Linked DNA regions of Macaca mulatta. The protein of the gene in region 1 interacts with the protein of each later gene in a pairwise test. Links are inferred from orthologs where the notes say so. Each region holds a gene or a part of one and is shown in the gene's direction. Other genes may lie near its edges.

Evidence for each region.
Region 2: the proteins of PRPF31 (region 1) and MID2 interact in binary tests that used the Homo sapiens proteins (3 or more experiments, as listed by UniProt). The two-hybrid records come from large-scale screens. The link is inferred for Macaca mulatta from reciprocal best matches to the Homo sapiens genes PRPF31 and MID2.

The regions. Positions count from the first base shown.
Region 1 is NC_133424.1:66,349,150-66,356,076, forward strand, and holds part of PRPF31 (U4/U6 small nuclear ribonucleoprotein Prp31), read left to right. Parts: intron 1-1,669; coding exon 1,670-1,753; intron 1,754-2,349; exon of another isoform or gene 2,350-2,354; coding exon 2,355-2,452; exon of another isoform or gene 2,453-2,539; intron 2,540-2,641; exon of another isoform or gene 2,642-3,270; coding exon 3,271-3,377; exon of another isoform or gene 3,378-3,576; coding exon 3,577-3,746; exon of another isoform or gene 3,747-4,041; intron 4,042-4,318; coding exon 4,319-4,476; intron 4,477-4,639; exon of another isoform or gene 4,640-5,092; intron 5,093-5,551; exon of another isoform or gene 5,552-5,676; intron 5,677-6,927. UniProt on the Homo sapiens protein: Involved in pre-mRNA splicing as component of the spliceosome. Required for the assembly of the U4/U5/U6 tri-snRNP complex, one of the building blocks of the spliceosome.
Region 2 is NC_133426.1:114,594,650-114,602,321, forward strand, and holds the start of MID2 (putative E3 ubiquitin-protein ligase MID2), read left to right. Parts: upstream 1-3,380; 5' UTR 3,381-4,011; coding exon 4,012-4,015; intron 4,016-7,672. UniProt on the Homo sapiens protein: E3 ubiquitin ligase that plays a role in microtubule stabilization. Mediates the 'Lys-48'-linked polyubiquitination of LRRK2 to drive its localization to microtubules and its proteasomal degradation in neurons.

The DNA.
Region 1 (6,927 bases):
CCCGTTTACTGGAGGTGCACGAGTGCTGCGGGCACACGGAGGACGCGTCTGATCAGTCCCCGTTTACTGGAGGTGCACGAGTGCTGCGGGCACACGGAGGACGCGTCTGATCAGTCCCCGTTTACTGGAGGTGCACGAGTGCTGCGGGCACACGGAGGAGGCGTCTGATCCTCCCAGACAGGGAGGGAAGGATTCTGAGTCACTGCTGGAGTCTTAAGGACTTAAAGAGCCTTTTGAGCATCAGGGTTAGGAACACATTCTGAAGCCACCCTGCTTGGGGTAAGGTCTGAGCTCTGCTGTCTACTGGCGGTGACATCAGACAGTTAGTATTTGTATGACATTTAAACACAACATCTTTTTGTTTGTTTTTTGAGACAGGGTCTCACTCTGTCACCCAGGCCAGAATGCAGTGGCACGATCGCAGCTCACTGCAGCCTTGACCTTCTGGGCTCAGGTGTTCCTGCCTCAGCCTCCCAGGCAGTTAGGACCACAGGCATACACCACCATGCCTGGCTAATTATTTTTTCTTTAATTATTTGTAGAGATGGGGTCTCCCTATGTTGCCCAGGTTGCTCTTGAACTCCTGGGCTCAAGCAGTTCTCCTGCCTCAGCCTCCCAAAGTGCTGGGATTACAGGTGTGAGCCACTGTGCCTGGCCTCTTATTACTGAAGCACAAAGAAGGGTTTTCCAGAAACAGACATGGGGTAAGGGATGCTCTGGGGAGAGGGAACAGCATATGCAAAGGCCAAGAGGGGCCTTGCATGGTGGCTCATGCCTGTCGTCCCAGCACTGGGTGGCCAAGGCTGGTGGATCACCTGAGGTCGGGAGTTCGAGATCAGCCTGCCCAACATGGTGAAACCCCATCTCTACTAAAAATACAAAACAAGTTAGCGGGGCATGGTGGCGGGCGCCTGTAATCCCAACTACTTGGGAGGCTGAGGCAGGAGAATCACTTGAACCCAGGAGGCGGAGGTTGCAGTGAGCTGAGATCGTGCCACTACACTCTAGCCTGGGCAACAAGAGTGATACTCCATCTCAAAAAAAAAAGGCCAGGAGGAGTGGGTGTCTGGGGCACTGTGACCAGTCCTTTATGGCTGGATGAGAGGATGGGGTGGGAAGGGTGGGAGGCCAGACCGCAGAGTTGCTGAGTCAGCAGAGAGGAACTGGGCAGCTCCCTGTGTGCCAGGTGCTGTCCTGAGTACTCGGGTGTGGGTGTAGATAACGCAGGCACAGCACTGGTCCCTGCAGAGCTTCTGGAGTTGGGCAGGCCTTGAATGTCAGTCTAGGGACTTGGTCATTAGCCTTGGGGCTATGGGGAGCCATAGGAGGTTTCAGACGGACGGTCAGTTCCAGGGCAGGTAGGGTCAAGTCTAGACTGGTGTGGAGGGAGAGGGATTGGAGGCAGGAACACAAGTTCAGGGATGTCTGCAGATGTCAGCCTGTCGCCTGCTTTACTCTTCAACCCCTCCTTCCTGACCCCCTCCAGCCTCGTCCTCCGCCTCCTCCAGCTGCAGGATCTGGGAGGCAGACGTCAGCCTGTCCCTGGTTTACTCTTCAGCCCCTCCTTCCTGACCCTTCCCAGCCTCATCCTCCGTCTCCCCCAGCTGTGGGACCTGAGAAGGGGTAGGGATTTATATCCTCACACCCATGCCACTCCGTGTCCTCACAGTGATGGGACCGGTGGAGGCAGCGCCTGAATACCGCGTCATCGTGGATGCCAACAACCTGACCGTGGAGATCGAAAACGAGCTGAGTGAGTGCTGGGGGCAGGCGGAGACAGCCCCCTGTGACGCCCCTCATGCCCCCTCCCTTCCCCACGGGCCTTTCCCAGGGTCCTGCCGCTGAGCCCAAGCTCAGATCGAGGTTCACCTGCTGTAACGGAGTGGTGTAAGTAAGAAGGAAGTGTGTTCTCCCTCACGTATGAGTCTGAGCGAGCACTCGGGGACGGCGTGGCTCCCTCGCGTATGAGTCTGAGCGAGCACTCGGGGACGGCGTGGCCGCTTGGCTGCCCGTAAGGCCCCAGCCCTTTCCATCTTGTTGGTCGGCCACCTGCCTCGTGGTGCGAGGGGACTGCCCCACGTCCAGCCGTCGCCTCTGCATTCCCACCAGCAAGGCACTTCTTTTTTTTAAGAACATGTCACTGCAGCTCACATTTTACAGACCAGAACTAATTCCCCTGGTCACACCTAGCGGTAAGGGCGGCTGAAAAATGGAGCCTGTATGCTGGTGCCCGTATGCCAGGCTACAAGCCAGGGCTTCAGTTACTAAAGGAAGAAGGGGACGTGGGTGTTAGGGCCAACCAGCAGAGTCTGCCTCCCGTCTCACCTGACACCCGCCTGTCCCGTTTACCCTAGACATCATCCATAAGTTCATCCGGGATAAGTACTCGAAGAGATTCCCTGAACTGGAGTCCTTGGTCCCCAATGCACTGGATTACATCCGCACGGTCAAGGTGAGAGCAGAGGAGGAGCGGTGCTTCTGCTGGTGTGAAGGTGCAGGCAGGGCTCACTCTTGGACCCGCCCCCAGAGGCCTCGGGGTCTGGAGGTGAAGGAGAGGAGTGGACGGAGGCTCAGTGGCCTGCTCTGCCCAGGGTGAGAGGGACGGAGCCTGGATGGGACTTTCTCAGGGCTCCCCTCGTACCCCAGTCTCCCGAGAGGGCTTCCCCGCTGGCCTGACCCGCGCTGCTTCCGCTGTGGTCGGAGCCGGTGGCATTGGAGTTGACATCCGAAGGTCGTCACAGGGCAGGCACGCGGAGATTTGGGGGAGAGAGATGTGTTAAGTATGGAGAGCCGGAGAGGGAACAAGCGGGGAGGAAGTGAGGCGGGGAAGGAGGGGACGCGGAAGAGGTCGGATCACACTGAGCCTTTGGGTCTTATGAGAAAGCCAAGGAAGGGTTTCGGAAAAGAGGGGCGGATGCAGGTGAGGGCAGGGAGAGGAGGCGGTCCCCACGTGTGTCCGGGAAAGGATCAGGATGGTGGTGGGGGAAGCCCCCGCAGGGAAGCGAGGCCGCGGGTTTGTGCTCCGACTCGACACAGGCAGAGGCTTGTGAGGCCGCGGTCTTCCCAGACGCTGCTCTGCCCAGGTTCCGTTTCCAAAGCAGAGCAGACGGTGTGGATGCTTCAGGCGGTGGAGGCAGGAGAGGCCCCCAGTGTAGAGACCCTGACTTTCCCAGTGTCCCCGAGAAGAGACCCGAGTAGGTGCAGGGCCAGAGAGGCTCTCAAGCCTTCCTGAGTTCCTGAGCCTCCCCTGTCTTCTCTGCTCGCGCCCAGGAGCTGGGCAACAGCCTGGACAAGTGCAAGAACAATGAGAACCTGCAGCAGATCCTCACCAACGCCACCATCATGGTCGTCAGCGTCACCGCCTCCACCACCCAGGGGTATGTCCGCTGGAGGGAGGCGCCGGGCCCGGGCCAGTGGGACTGGGGATTAGGCTGAAGCTACCCACGCAGGTGGGCATACACACACACGCACACACACACACACACACACACGTGCACACACACACAACTGAGAGGGTGGGTGCTGGGCACCAAGCAGGCGGGAGACCCAGGAGGCTGGGCCCACCCGCCCCTGCAGGCAGCAGCTGTCGGAGGAGGAGCTGGAGCGGCTGGAGGAGGCCTGTGACATGGCGCTGGAGCTGAACGCCTCCAAGCACCGCATCTACGAGTACGTGGAGTCCCGGATGTCCTTCATCGCGCCCAACCTCTCCATCATTATTGGGGCGTCCACGGCCGCCAAGATCATGGGTGAGGCCCTGGGCTGGGTCCCATGGAGCGGGACTCTGCTGACACTGTGATCTGGGGGAAGCTGCTTCCCTTTTCTGTAGAATGGGGACTTTGGCACCTGGGCCTCAACACCCCGTCTCCCTGGACGTGACAGAGGTCAGCCAGCCTGGCACACAGCAAAGCCTCGTCTGGGAGAAACACTCACCCACAGCTCCTCCTCCCTCCCCTGTGCCGGAAAGCCAGAGATGACCACACCCAGGCCCTGTTGTCAGGGGGCTCCTGGTTTGGTGAAAATGGTTCCAAAACACAGACATCCCTGGAATGGGGGTAGTGTGGCTTAGCACAAACGTGGTGGTCAGTTGCCTGTTGGGGGCCTCCTCCCTGCACCCCAGGCCAGCTGCCCTCCCTCTCTGAGCCTCCTTTGCGTCTGCCCCTCGCGGAATGGGCCAGGTCGCCCGCCTGGCAGGGCCACCGAGGAATCCAGCCAGAACCTCACGTAAAGGTGCTTGGCACATGTCGAGCCCCCAGGCAGATGTGCGCACCCCCGCCTCCCCCGCTTTCTTCTGACCGCCCCTGTCCTCCTCCCACCGCAGGCGTGGCCGGCGGCCTGACCAACCTCTCCAAGATGCCCGCCTGCAACATCATGCTGCTCGGGGCCCAGCGCAAGACGCTGTCGGGCTTCTCGTCTACCTCAGTGCTGCCCCACACCGGCTACATCTACCACAGTGACATTGTGCAGTCCCTGCCCCCGGTGAGCCCACCGCGTCACAGCCCCTCCCCCGGCTCCCCTGGAGCCTTCCGCCTGCCCAGACGGCCTGAGCAGCCACCCCCACCATCTGGCCCAGCTGACAGTAGCACTCAGGAGCCGGGGACAGGGTAGCATGGGATGTGAGAGCCAGGGTTCTGCAGCACACCTGTCGGGTGACTGTGGGCAAGAGGCGTGAGTGCCCTGTGCCTCAGTCTCCTCCCCTCGAAAATGGGAGCACAGCGCCTGCTTCACGAGTTGGGGCGAGGGCTCCATGTAGACGAGGCCCTCACAAGGCAGGCCTAGCTCACGACAAGCAGCGTCGGGTTAGCAGCTGCTCCGAAGGCCACCGTCACTGGAAAGACACGGAACCCCTGAGGGCTGCTGTGCTGGGGACTGTATAACAGATTAACATTAGCCACAGGGAGAGACACACAGGAGGAGCAGGAGAGGTCACCAACCTCGGAGGGCGATGTGTCCTCTCCCCGCAGTCAGGACACATCACCCTCCCGGCATCGATGCCTGACAGCACACACAGGGCCGCCAGCCTCACACCCGTAATCCCAGCACTTTGCGAGGCCGAGGCGGGAGCATCACTTGAGGCCAGAAGTTGAAGACTAACCTGGGCAACATAGTGAGACCCCGACTCTTTTTTTTGTCTTGATTCCAATGGGATTGGAAACACCCTGTCTCTACAAGAATAAAAAACCCGGTGTGGCAGCGCTTGCCTGTCATCCCAGCTACTTGGGAGGCTGAGATGGGAGGATACTTTGCGCCCGGGAGGCGGAGGTTGCAGCGAGCCAAGATTGCACCACTGCACTTAAGCCTGGGCCAGGGACGCTTGCCTGGGCCGTGGTGTTCAGTCTTTATTGTGGCTCTGCTGTGTAGACACGACTGTGTTGCCGTGTGGCTGGTCTGTCTCCAGGTCAGGTGATGCCCCATAACTCAGAGCCCCCACGCTGAACCACGTGGTTGGGCTTTCCTGCGTGGCCAGCCCCAGGCACCCTAAACCACACTGTGGCTACCCCAGGGCCCCAGCCAGCAAGGACCGCCACCCAGGACCCCCGGGCAAAGGCCAAACCTCTTCCTGGGCAAGGCGAAATTCTCTGCCACGCGGAGCCGCTGCCAGTGTTATTCCTGTGACTGTCATCTTCAGTATCATTTGATTCTGTGGCAGCGAGTTTCACATCATCCTCCTGATGTCTCCTAGAACACAGGTCATCTCCCTTCAGTGGCACAGACCATGAATTTCAGTGACACAAAGACGGTGGTTTTTATTTTAATCACTGCATACTTATTTTTATTGAATAATCTCCCATTCGTGGTAATGAAATTAAGCTGTCTAAACAGGTTTGCAGTTTTTAAAAGCAGACTAAAAGAAAACATTGACGACTGGTTATCATCAGAAGGCATTTTAGTCATAGCAGTGGTGGGAAAACGCGCAACAAGCAGAGCTGGCTGTGAGTGGAGCTTTGGAAACATTTGGTGATCTCATTGAGTCCTCACAACTCTCTCTTTTTTTTTTTTTTTTTTTTTTGAGACGGAGTCTCGCTCTGTCGCCCAGGCTGGAGTGCAGTGGCACGATCTCGGCTCACGGCAAGCTCTGCCTCCCGGGTTCACGCCATTCTCCTGACTCAGCCTCCGAGTAGCTGGGACTACAGGTGCGCACCACTACGCCCGGCTAATTTTTTGTATTGTTAGTAGAGACGGAGTTTCACTGTGTTAGCCAGGATGGTCTCGATCTCCTGACCTCATGATCCGCCCGCCTCGGCCTCCCAAAGTGCTGGGATGACAGGCTTGAGCCACCGCGCCCGGCGAGTCCTCACAACTCTCTTTTTTTTTTTTTTTTTTGAGACGGAGTCTCGCTCTGCCGCCCAGGCTGGAGTGCAGTGGCCGGATCTCAGCTCACTGCAAGCTCCGCCTCCCGGGTTGCCACCATTCTCCTGCCTCAGCCTCCCGAGTAGCTGGGACTACAGGCGCCCGCCACCTCGCCCGGCTAATTTCTTTGCATTTTTTAGTAGAGACGGGGTTTCACTGTGTTAGCCAGGATGGTCTCGATCTCCTGACCTCGTGATCCGCCCGTCTCGGCCTCCCAAAGTGCTGGGATTACAGGCGTGAGCCACCGCGCCCGGCCGAGTCCTCACAACTCTCTAAGGGAGATCCTGTCCCTCCTCTGCCCTTCGCCACCCATTTCACAGATGAGGGAACCGAGGCACCGAAAGTCAGACTTGTCTGAGACCCCGCAGGCGGTGGAGCTGGTCTGAGTCTGGACAGTCCGAGACCCCGCAGGCGGTGGAGCTGGTCTGAGTCTGGACAGTCCGGCCCAGAGCCAGGGTCCCTCCCCTCGGGGTTGCTCCCAGCATCCTCCACCTCCCGTCTCAGGCGCGTCTCACGCTGCTGTTGTGAGGGTCACAAGTGGGGGCCTAGAACACAACCAGGAGGCGGGAGTGGTGGCTC
Region 2 (7,672 bases), on another chromosome or scaffold:
GCTTCCCTAGTAGCTGGAATTACAGGCACACACTACCACGCCCAGCTAATTTTTGTATTTTTAGTAGAGACGGGGTTTTACCATGTTGACCAGGATGGTCTCCATCTCCTGACCTTGTGATCCGCCTGCCTCGGCCTCCCAAAGTGCTGGGATTACAGGCGTGAGCCATTGCACCCAGCGAAGAGTTACTATTTTAACTATTTTTGAGTGTAAAATTCAGTGGCATTAAGTACATTCACAATGTTGCATAACACTATTTTCAGAATTATTTCATCATCCCAGTCAGAAATTCTGTATTCTTTAAATAATAATTCCTCATTTCCTCTCCCTTCAGTTCCTGGTGACCTCCACTTTACTTTCTGTCTCCAGGCTCCTTGCTCATAATTGTTTTTGAAAAGGTAATACATGAACATTATAAAAAACTTAAACAATACAAAAGAGCATATGCAATGTTAAATACTTCCTCCTATGCTTGACTCCCAGGCAACCAGTGTAACCAGTTTCTTAGGTATCTTTCAGAAGAGTCTATGCTCATACAAGCATTCATAGACATATACCTGCCTGCTTCTTTACGCGAATAGTAAGAAATCATACTCAGTTCTGCACGTTGCTTTTTTCATTTCATAATATCTGAGATTCTTATATATATGTGTGTGTGTGTATCATACATATGCATATATATAATTATTTTAATGGCTACATAGGTTATTTATCCCCTCTTCTATTAGGCTGGGTTCAGCAGACTTCTGACTCATTAACTTTTAAAAAAATAATTTTTGTGCCAAAAACCACATAACATAAACTTCATCCTTCCAACAATTTTCAAGTGTACAGTACAATATTGTCAACCACATGCACATTGTTGTGCAACAGATCCCCAGAACATCCCCCTCATCCTGCATGACTGAAATTCCACACCCACTGAACAACTCTTTCCTTTTCCCTCCTCGCAGTCCCTGACAACCAGCATTCTACTTTCTGTTTCTATGAGTTGACTATTTTAGACAGTCATATAAGTAGAATCATGGAATATTTGACTTTTTGTGACTGGCTTATTTCACTTAGCATAATGTCCTCAAGGTTCATCAACTTTGTAACATGTGACAGTATTTCCTTCTTTTTTTAAAGCTGAATAATATGTCCTTGTGTGTATATACCATATTTTCTTTATCCATTCATCCCTTGATGGACATTAAATTTGCTTCTACCCCTTGAATGATGCTGCTATAAGCATGGGTTTGCCAGTATCTTTTTGAGATCCTGTTTTCTATTTGCTTGGCTATATACCTGGAAGTGAGATTGTTTAATCATATAGTAGTTCTATTTTTAATTTTTTGAGGAACCTCCATCCTATTTTCCATAGCAGCTACACCAGTTTACATTCCCTTGGGTAGTGTCTGTACCATTTTACAATGGTGTTCAAGGGTTCCAATTTCTCCACAACCTTGTTAACACTTATTATTTTCTGTTCTAATTTTATTTTTTGTAGACACGTTCTCTTCATGTTACCCAGGCTGATCTCTAACTCCTGGCCTCAAGTGACTCTCTTGCCTTAGCATCCCCTCCTGAGTAGCTGGAATTACAAGTGTGAACCACACCTTGCTGTATTTTCTTCTGTTTTTTTTTTTTTTAAATTTTTAAATTTTTATTTTTATAGTGACCATCCTAATGGATGTGAAATGATATTTCATTGGGGTTTGACTTGCATTTCCCTGACAATTAGTGATGTTGATCATCTTTGCATATGCCTGTTGGCCACTTGTATATCTTCTTTGGAGAAATGTCTATTCAAGTCTTTTGTCCACTTTTAAGAGGTTTTTTTTTTTTTTTTTTAATTGAGCTATACAAGTTCTTTATACATTCTGGATATTAGCACATTATCCGATATATGGTTTGCAAAAGTTTTCTACCATTTTGTAGGTTGCTTTTTCACTCTGTTGATTGAGTCCTTTCCTGTGCAGATGTTTGAAAGTTTTATGGTCCCATTTACCTATTTTTGCTTTTGTTGCCTGGACTTTAGGTGTTACTCACTACCTTTTACTTCTCTTAGGGGCCAGACTTTTTTTTTTTTTTTTTTTTTTTGAGACGGAGTCTCGCTCTGCCGCCCAGGCTGGAGTGCAGTGGCCGGATCTCAGCTCACTGCAAGCTCCGCCTCCTGGGTTCACGCCATTCTCCTGCCTCAGCCTCCCGAGTAGCTGGGACTACAGGCGCCCGCCACCTCACCTGGCTAGTTTTTTTGTATTTTTTAGTAGAGACGGGGTTTCACCGTGTTAGCCAGGATGGTCTCGATCTCCTGACCTCATGATCCACCCGTCTCGGCCTCCCAAAGTGCTGGGATTACAGGCTTGAGCCACCGCGCCCGGCCGGGGCCAGACTTTCATCAGGGCAGCCTGGTTGTGATTTTTGCCTTGGTTTCCACCTCAGTGATCTCTAGCACATTGTTTCACAGGAGTGTTGACTGATTACTATTGGTTTCCTGAAGGGATATACCAAGAGATACCTCAATTTTTCTGGGCTTGTTCTTATGCACAATGATGGCAGGCGTGTGTGTGTGTGTGTGTGTGTGTGTGTGTGTGTGTGTGCGCGCGCGCGCGCGCGCGCGCTGGGGCAGGTCCTCTCATTTTCTCATTTCTTTCCCCTTGTTCTCTCTTTTTGCCCCAAGTTAGAAACAGAGTCTCTTATGGGGCTTCCTGCTCTTTCCCTCTCCCATCCACCTTTTGAGTGGGGGTCACTCCAGACCAATGGGAGGATGCTGGATTCCAAATGGACCAATTAGCTTATTAGGGACCTGGAATACCTGGATAGCTAGCATCTGCCTCATTGTCCTTGTGGTAACGACCCTCTTGTTTTACTGGTCAACAATTTGAAGGTACAAGAAAAATCCTGCTTTTTTTTTTTCTTTTGATGGCTTTAATCCACCTTCACAACTTCTGCCCGAGGCCAATAAAACACAGCCATTCTCTCTTTGTAAAAAGAAAGAGGGGTTGGGTTTCCTTCAATTGTCTGCCCTTTTCTATCTCCTCCACTATTTTTGTTTTACTCTGTAGTTAACTTTGCATAGAGCAGCTTCATGGAGAGGATCTGTGCGGTGGACCCGGGCACTCTCTTCTTATTACCGGTTGCAAAGGCCTCTTCCTTGTTCTAACCTGGGGTTTGTGGGGCTGGGGGACAGAGGAGTGGGGAGTGGGAGAAGAGTTTAGCCATAGTCTTCCTTCTGCATTTCACACACATTCTGCTCTCTCTGTCGCTCTGTCACTCACACACACACACACACACACACACAACACACACATACACACACACACACCCGCCCAGGTCCCTCTCTCTGTGTCTTCCTTCAAGATGACAGGGCGCTGGAGAAAAGGCTGCTGGAATCAGCTGGTAGGTACAGTAGTAACCCGAGCCCCACCCACCGGCTGCCTTTGCTTGCTCAGGTTTCTCCGGTCACTCCTGCCAGGGGAGAAGACATGTAAACGTGCCTCCAGAGGAAGGGCTGGGGGAGCTGGGAGTGGCGGGGGCGGCGGAAGGTGAGCCTGGGAAGGTGTCCGAGCGCCCCTTCTTCTTTGGCCCTTCCCAGTGCTCCCTTGGGGTGTCAGCCCCAACCCCGTTTGCCCCCACTCCGCCTCCCTTTTGGAAGGGATTGCCTTTTTTTTTCCTCTGCGGCGGCGGAAATGACAGTGTGGTGCTGCCGTGGTGTCATGGTGCTGCCCCTGGACTGAGGGGCGAAAACTCTTAACTTTAGCTCGGGAGACCCAGCCGCGGTAGCATCGCGGCCGCCGTGCTATCCCCTGCGGGGCGCGCGGGCTGGCGGATCCCGGCTGCTGCGCGGCGTCGGCGACGGTAGCGGCAGCTGCAGCGAAGGCGGGCGGCGGCCTAGAGTGGTGGCGGCGGCGGCGGCGGCGACCGGGGCCCTGGAGCTCGCGCCGGAGCCCGAGCTAGCCCGCTGCGGAGGCAGACGAGCGCCCAGCGCCCTCGAGCGAGCAGAGGAGATGGCTGGCACCTGGGAACGCTATGGGTAAAACGCGCCCCCTCGCCGCGGCCCTGGAGGTCGAGCGTCGTCGCCCTCGCAGGGCTCGGCCCTGGCTCCGGCCGCTTTTCAGGTGCCGCCGGGGCCCGGCGTTAGCCGAGGGCTCTCGGGCTCGGCGGGGCAGGGTGATGGGGCCCGCGAGGCTCGAGACGGCGACGGGGGCCCCAGATCAGCTCCGGCTCCCAGTCATGCTGTTGGGGCTCGGGTTCCTGCCACTGCCCTCCTGGGACAGAGTTTGCACTCCGGGGTGCGGGGCGGGGGCGGCCGAGGCCTCTGCGCAGCCGGGCCGGGCCGGGCGCGGGCAGTCGAGCGAATCCTCCGGCGCCTGGGCGCGAGTCTGGGAAAGGGCACGGCCGCCTTCCCACGCTCCCGCAGCCGGCAGCCTCTTCGTCCCCGGCGTCGCCCCTTGGCCGGCCGTCTGCCGGGCGGTGCTGTCGCAGCAGCCGGCGTGGCTGCGGACGCCCTGCCGGCGGGGAGGCCCGGTGAAACTTAATCCCTTTTCTGCCAGGGGAGCGATCCTCGAGTCTCCGTCTGGATGGTTCCTTATTTCTGGCCTAGCTGTGAAACCAGCTCTGTGGGGGAGAGGGAAAACTTACATATGTCCACAGGACAGACTGCGACGCAACCAGGGAGAGTGGGGATTTTCCATTCCTGCCTTGTAAGAATTAAGTAAATAACAGCAGAGTAGATTTACAGGAATATTACTGGTGATGATAAGGTTTAGGTTACTTAGCACTTCGTGTGTTGCACATTATTTTTCAGAAGTGTTGCTTCTTAGAGCAGGAAATTGAAATCCTGGAGTCGTTTTACTCTTTACTTTCTCTGTCTCTTCCACTGTCCCCTACCGTTTTCATGATCACTCACCTTCCTATGTCACAACACTTACATGACTATGGAAATCCCCCACTAGAGCGCCTTGGACCCCAGGCTTTCCCCATCAACCTGTGCCCTCCCAGCCTCCCAGCCATGCTGCATCTTACTTCTTCAACCACTTTGCCTTTTGAGGATTTCTGAGTGTGGGGCGGATAGATGGTGATGGTTGTGTGTCTCTGAGGATGAGCCCTTATAAAGGAATATATTGGAAACTAAATAGAGAAGTACCGTGTGTGGGTTGATCCCTCTGATTCTCAACTTGGGCCAGAAGGGCTGCCTTTAACCCCATTCTGCTCCGTCCCAGTACTCTAATCAGTTCTCTGGCAATATTCCAATAGAAGGGAGTTGCTGAATAGGGAGTTCTCCTCCCCTACTTTTCTTCTGTTTGGGGAGTGGTTTCATTCTACCCCAGATGGTTAGCTTCCCCCTCCCCACCCCCCCGACACTCACATCCCCCTGTCTGTCTCCTCTCATGACTGTACTGAGGGAGAAACTGTCTTTGCTATTTTTATATATTCCTGCCCAATCAATGAACTTAACATGGGTATATAATGTGAATTAGATTTCTCCTGATTGCTCCTCACAACTTGATTCATGTGTTTGATAAAGTTTGGATATTTATCCCTGCCCAAATCTTATGTACAAATGTAATCCCCAGTGTTGAGGTGGGGCCTGATGGGAGGTGACTGGATCATGAGGGCAGATTTCTCATGAATGGTTTAGCACCACCACCTTGGTTGACTGTGAGTCCTTGTGATAGTGAGTAATCTCTCCTGAGATCTGGTTGTTTAAAAGCGTGCGGCACTTCCCCCCAGCTCTCTTTCTCCCTTGCTTCTGCTCACACCATGTGAGAATCTCCTGCTCCCCATTTGCCTCCCTCCATGATTGTAAGCTTCCTGAGTCCTCCTCAGAAGCAGATGCTGGCATCACACTTCCTGTACAGCCTGCAGAACTGTGACCCAATTAAACCTCTTTTCTTTTTTTTCTTTTCTTTTCTGTTTTTTTTTTTTTTTTTGAGAAAGGGTCTTGCCTCGGGCTTAAGCAATCCTTCTATCTCAGCATCTTGAGTAGTTGGGACCACAGGTGCATGCCACCACACCCAGCTAATTTTTGTATTTTTTGTAGAGATGGGGTTTTGACATATTGCTCAGGCTGGTCTCGAACTCCTGAGGTCAAGCGATCTGAGGGCCTCACCAAGTGCTGGGATTATAGGCAAGAGCCACAATGCCCAGCCTACCTCTTTTATTTATAAACTACCCAGTTTCAGGTATTTCTTTAAGGCAATGCAAGAATAGCTAATGCAGTGGTTAAAACACAGGTCCAGGAGTCAAGAAGATCAGAGTTCATCCCAAATCTGATGTTACATTGGCTTATGGCTTTAGGACATTCCTATGACTTTTCTTTCTTAGTTGGTGCACTTGTGTAAAAGCTATAATATTGTGTACTGGGTATTGTTAGTCTTGACTTGGTCCTTTGAAGATGAAAGGGTTCTGTAAACCCTCAGCATTATAATTTTTTTTCCCCTTTGAGATGAAGTCTCGCTGTGTCACCCAGGCTGGAGTGCAGTGGCGTGATCATGGCTTGCTGCAGTCTTGACTTCTCTGGCTCAAGCAATCCTCCTATCTCAGCTTCCCTAGTAGCTGGGACTATAGGCACACACCATCACACCTAGCTAATTTTTGAATTTTTTGTAGAGACAGGATTCACCATGTTTCCCAGTCTGGTCTCAAACTCCTGAGCTTAAGGGATCCACCTGCCAAAGCCAAGTGTTGGGATTACAGGTGCGAACCACCACAGCCGGCCAACATTATACTTTTCAAAGAAAGCACTTCCTTTACCTTTTACTGAGTTAGTGGATTGACTGGGTGTAAGTAGGAATCTTAGCTTACTGAAAATCTTACTTTAGCATTATTAGCCTCCCACCCCCAGAGTCAAATCTTATCATTGTACTTAGGTCCTAAATCTGTTTTGTCTCCAATACATGTTCAACTGAATGAAAACATACATACAACTAGGCATACAGAGTAATAATGACCATTTAAGTTGGGGCTTGAATCATATCTAATGCACTCTAACCTAACAATCTGAGTCAGACTAATTTGAAGACATAACCTCACCCATTTTTAGCCTATATGAGGGCAGTTTGTTAGTTTCTAATGAAAAGTGGCATAAATAATTTGGGGAATGGCTATATAAGCATAATTATCACCTAGTAGCAGAGTCAACAATATTAAGCACCTATAATCTGCAGAGGACCTCTGCTGATTGGGCTGAGGCCCCAGATTTAGCCCAGTATTTTGGCCTCCTGCCTGTTCCAGGCCAAACTCCATACTTGCAGCTCCAGGATTAGGTCACGGAGGGGCTGTGCAGGACATGGGTAGAGGCTAGGGACATGAAAGGGTGGTCGTGTCCCTCTTATTTGTTTTCATGACTACTAGAATTCTCATCTGGCATGTTGTACCTTGCAAGGCCACCTCTGGGAAGTACTCCTGTAAATCAGAGTGACTTGGTTGCTTTATGAACATATTATCTGAACGGTGCAAATTGATTTAGATAAAATTGATTTAGTTAATCCCTTACCTAAGAGCAGGGCAACTTGCTTCAACTTGCAGATCCTAAAGTAGTGCCAGTGGAGTCTCACAATTGCATCCAAATATTGCTCTGAGTAGTGAGCCTGTCCATTCCTTCATCCTTTCTCCCATAAAATCTGCTGACACCACAATAATTGACAAGGGAACTACACAAGGAGTATGTCTGTCTTCATCACTCAGC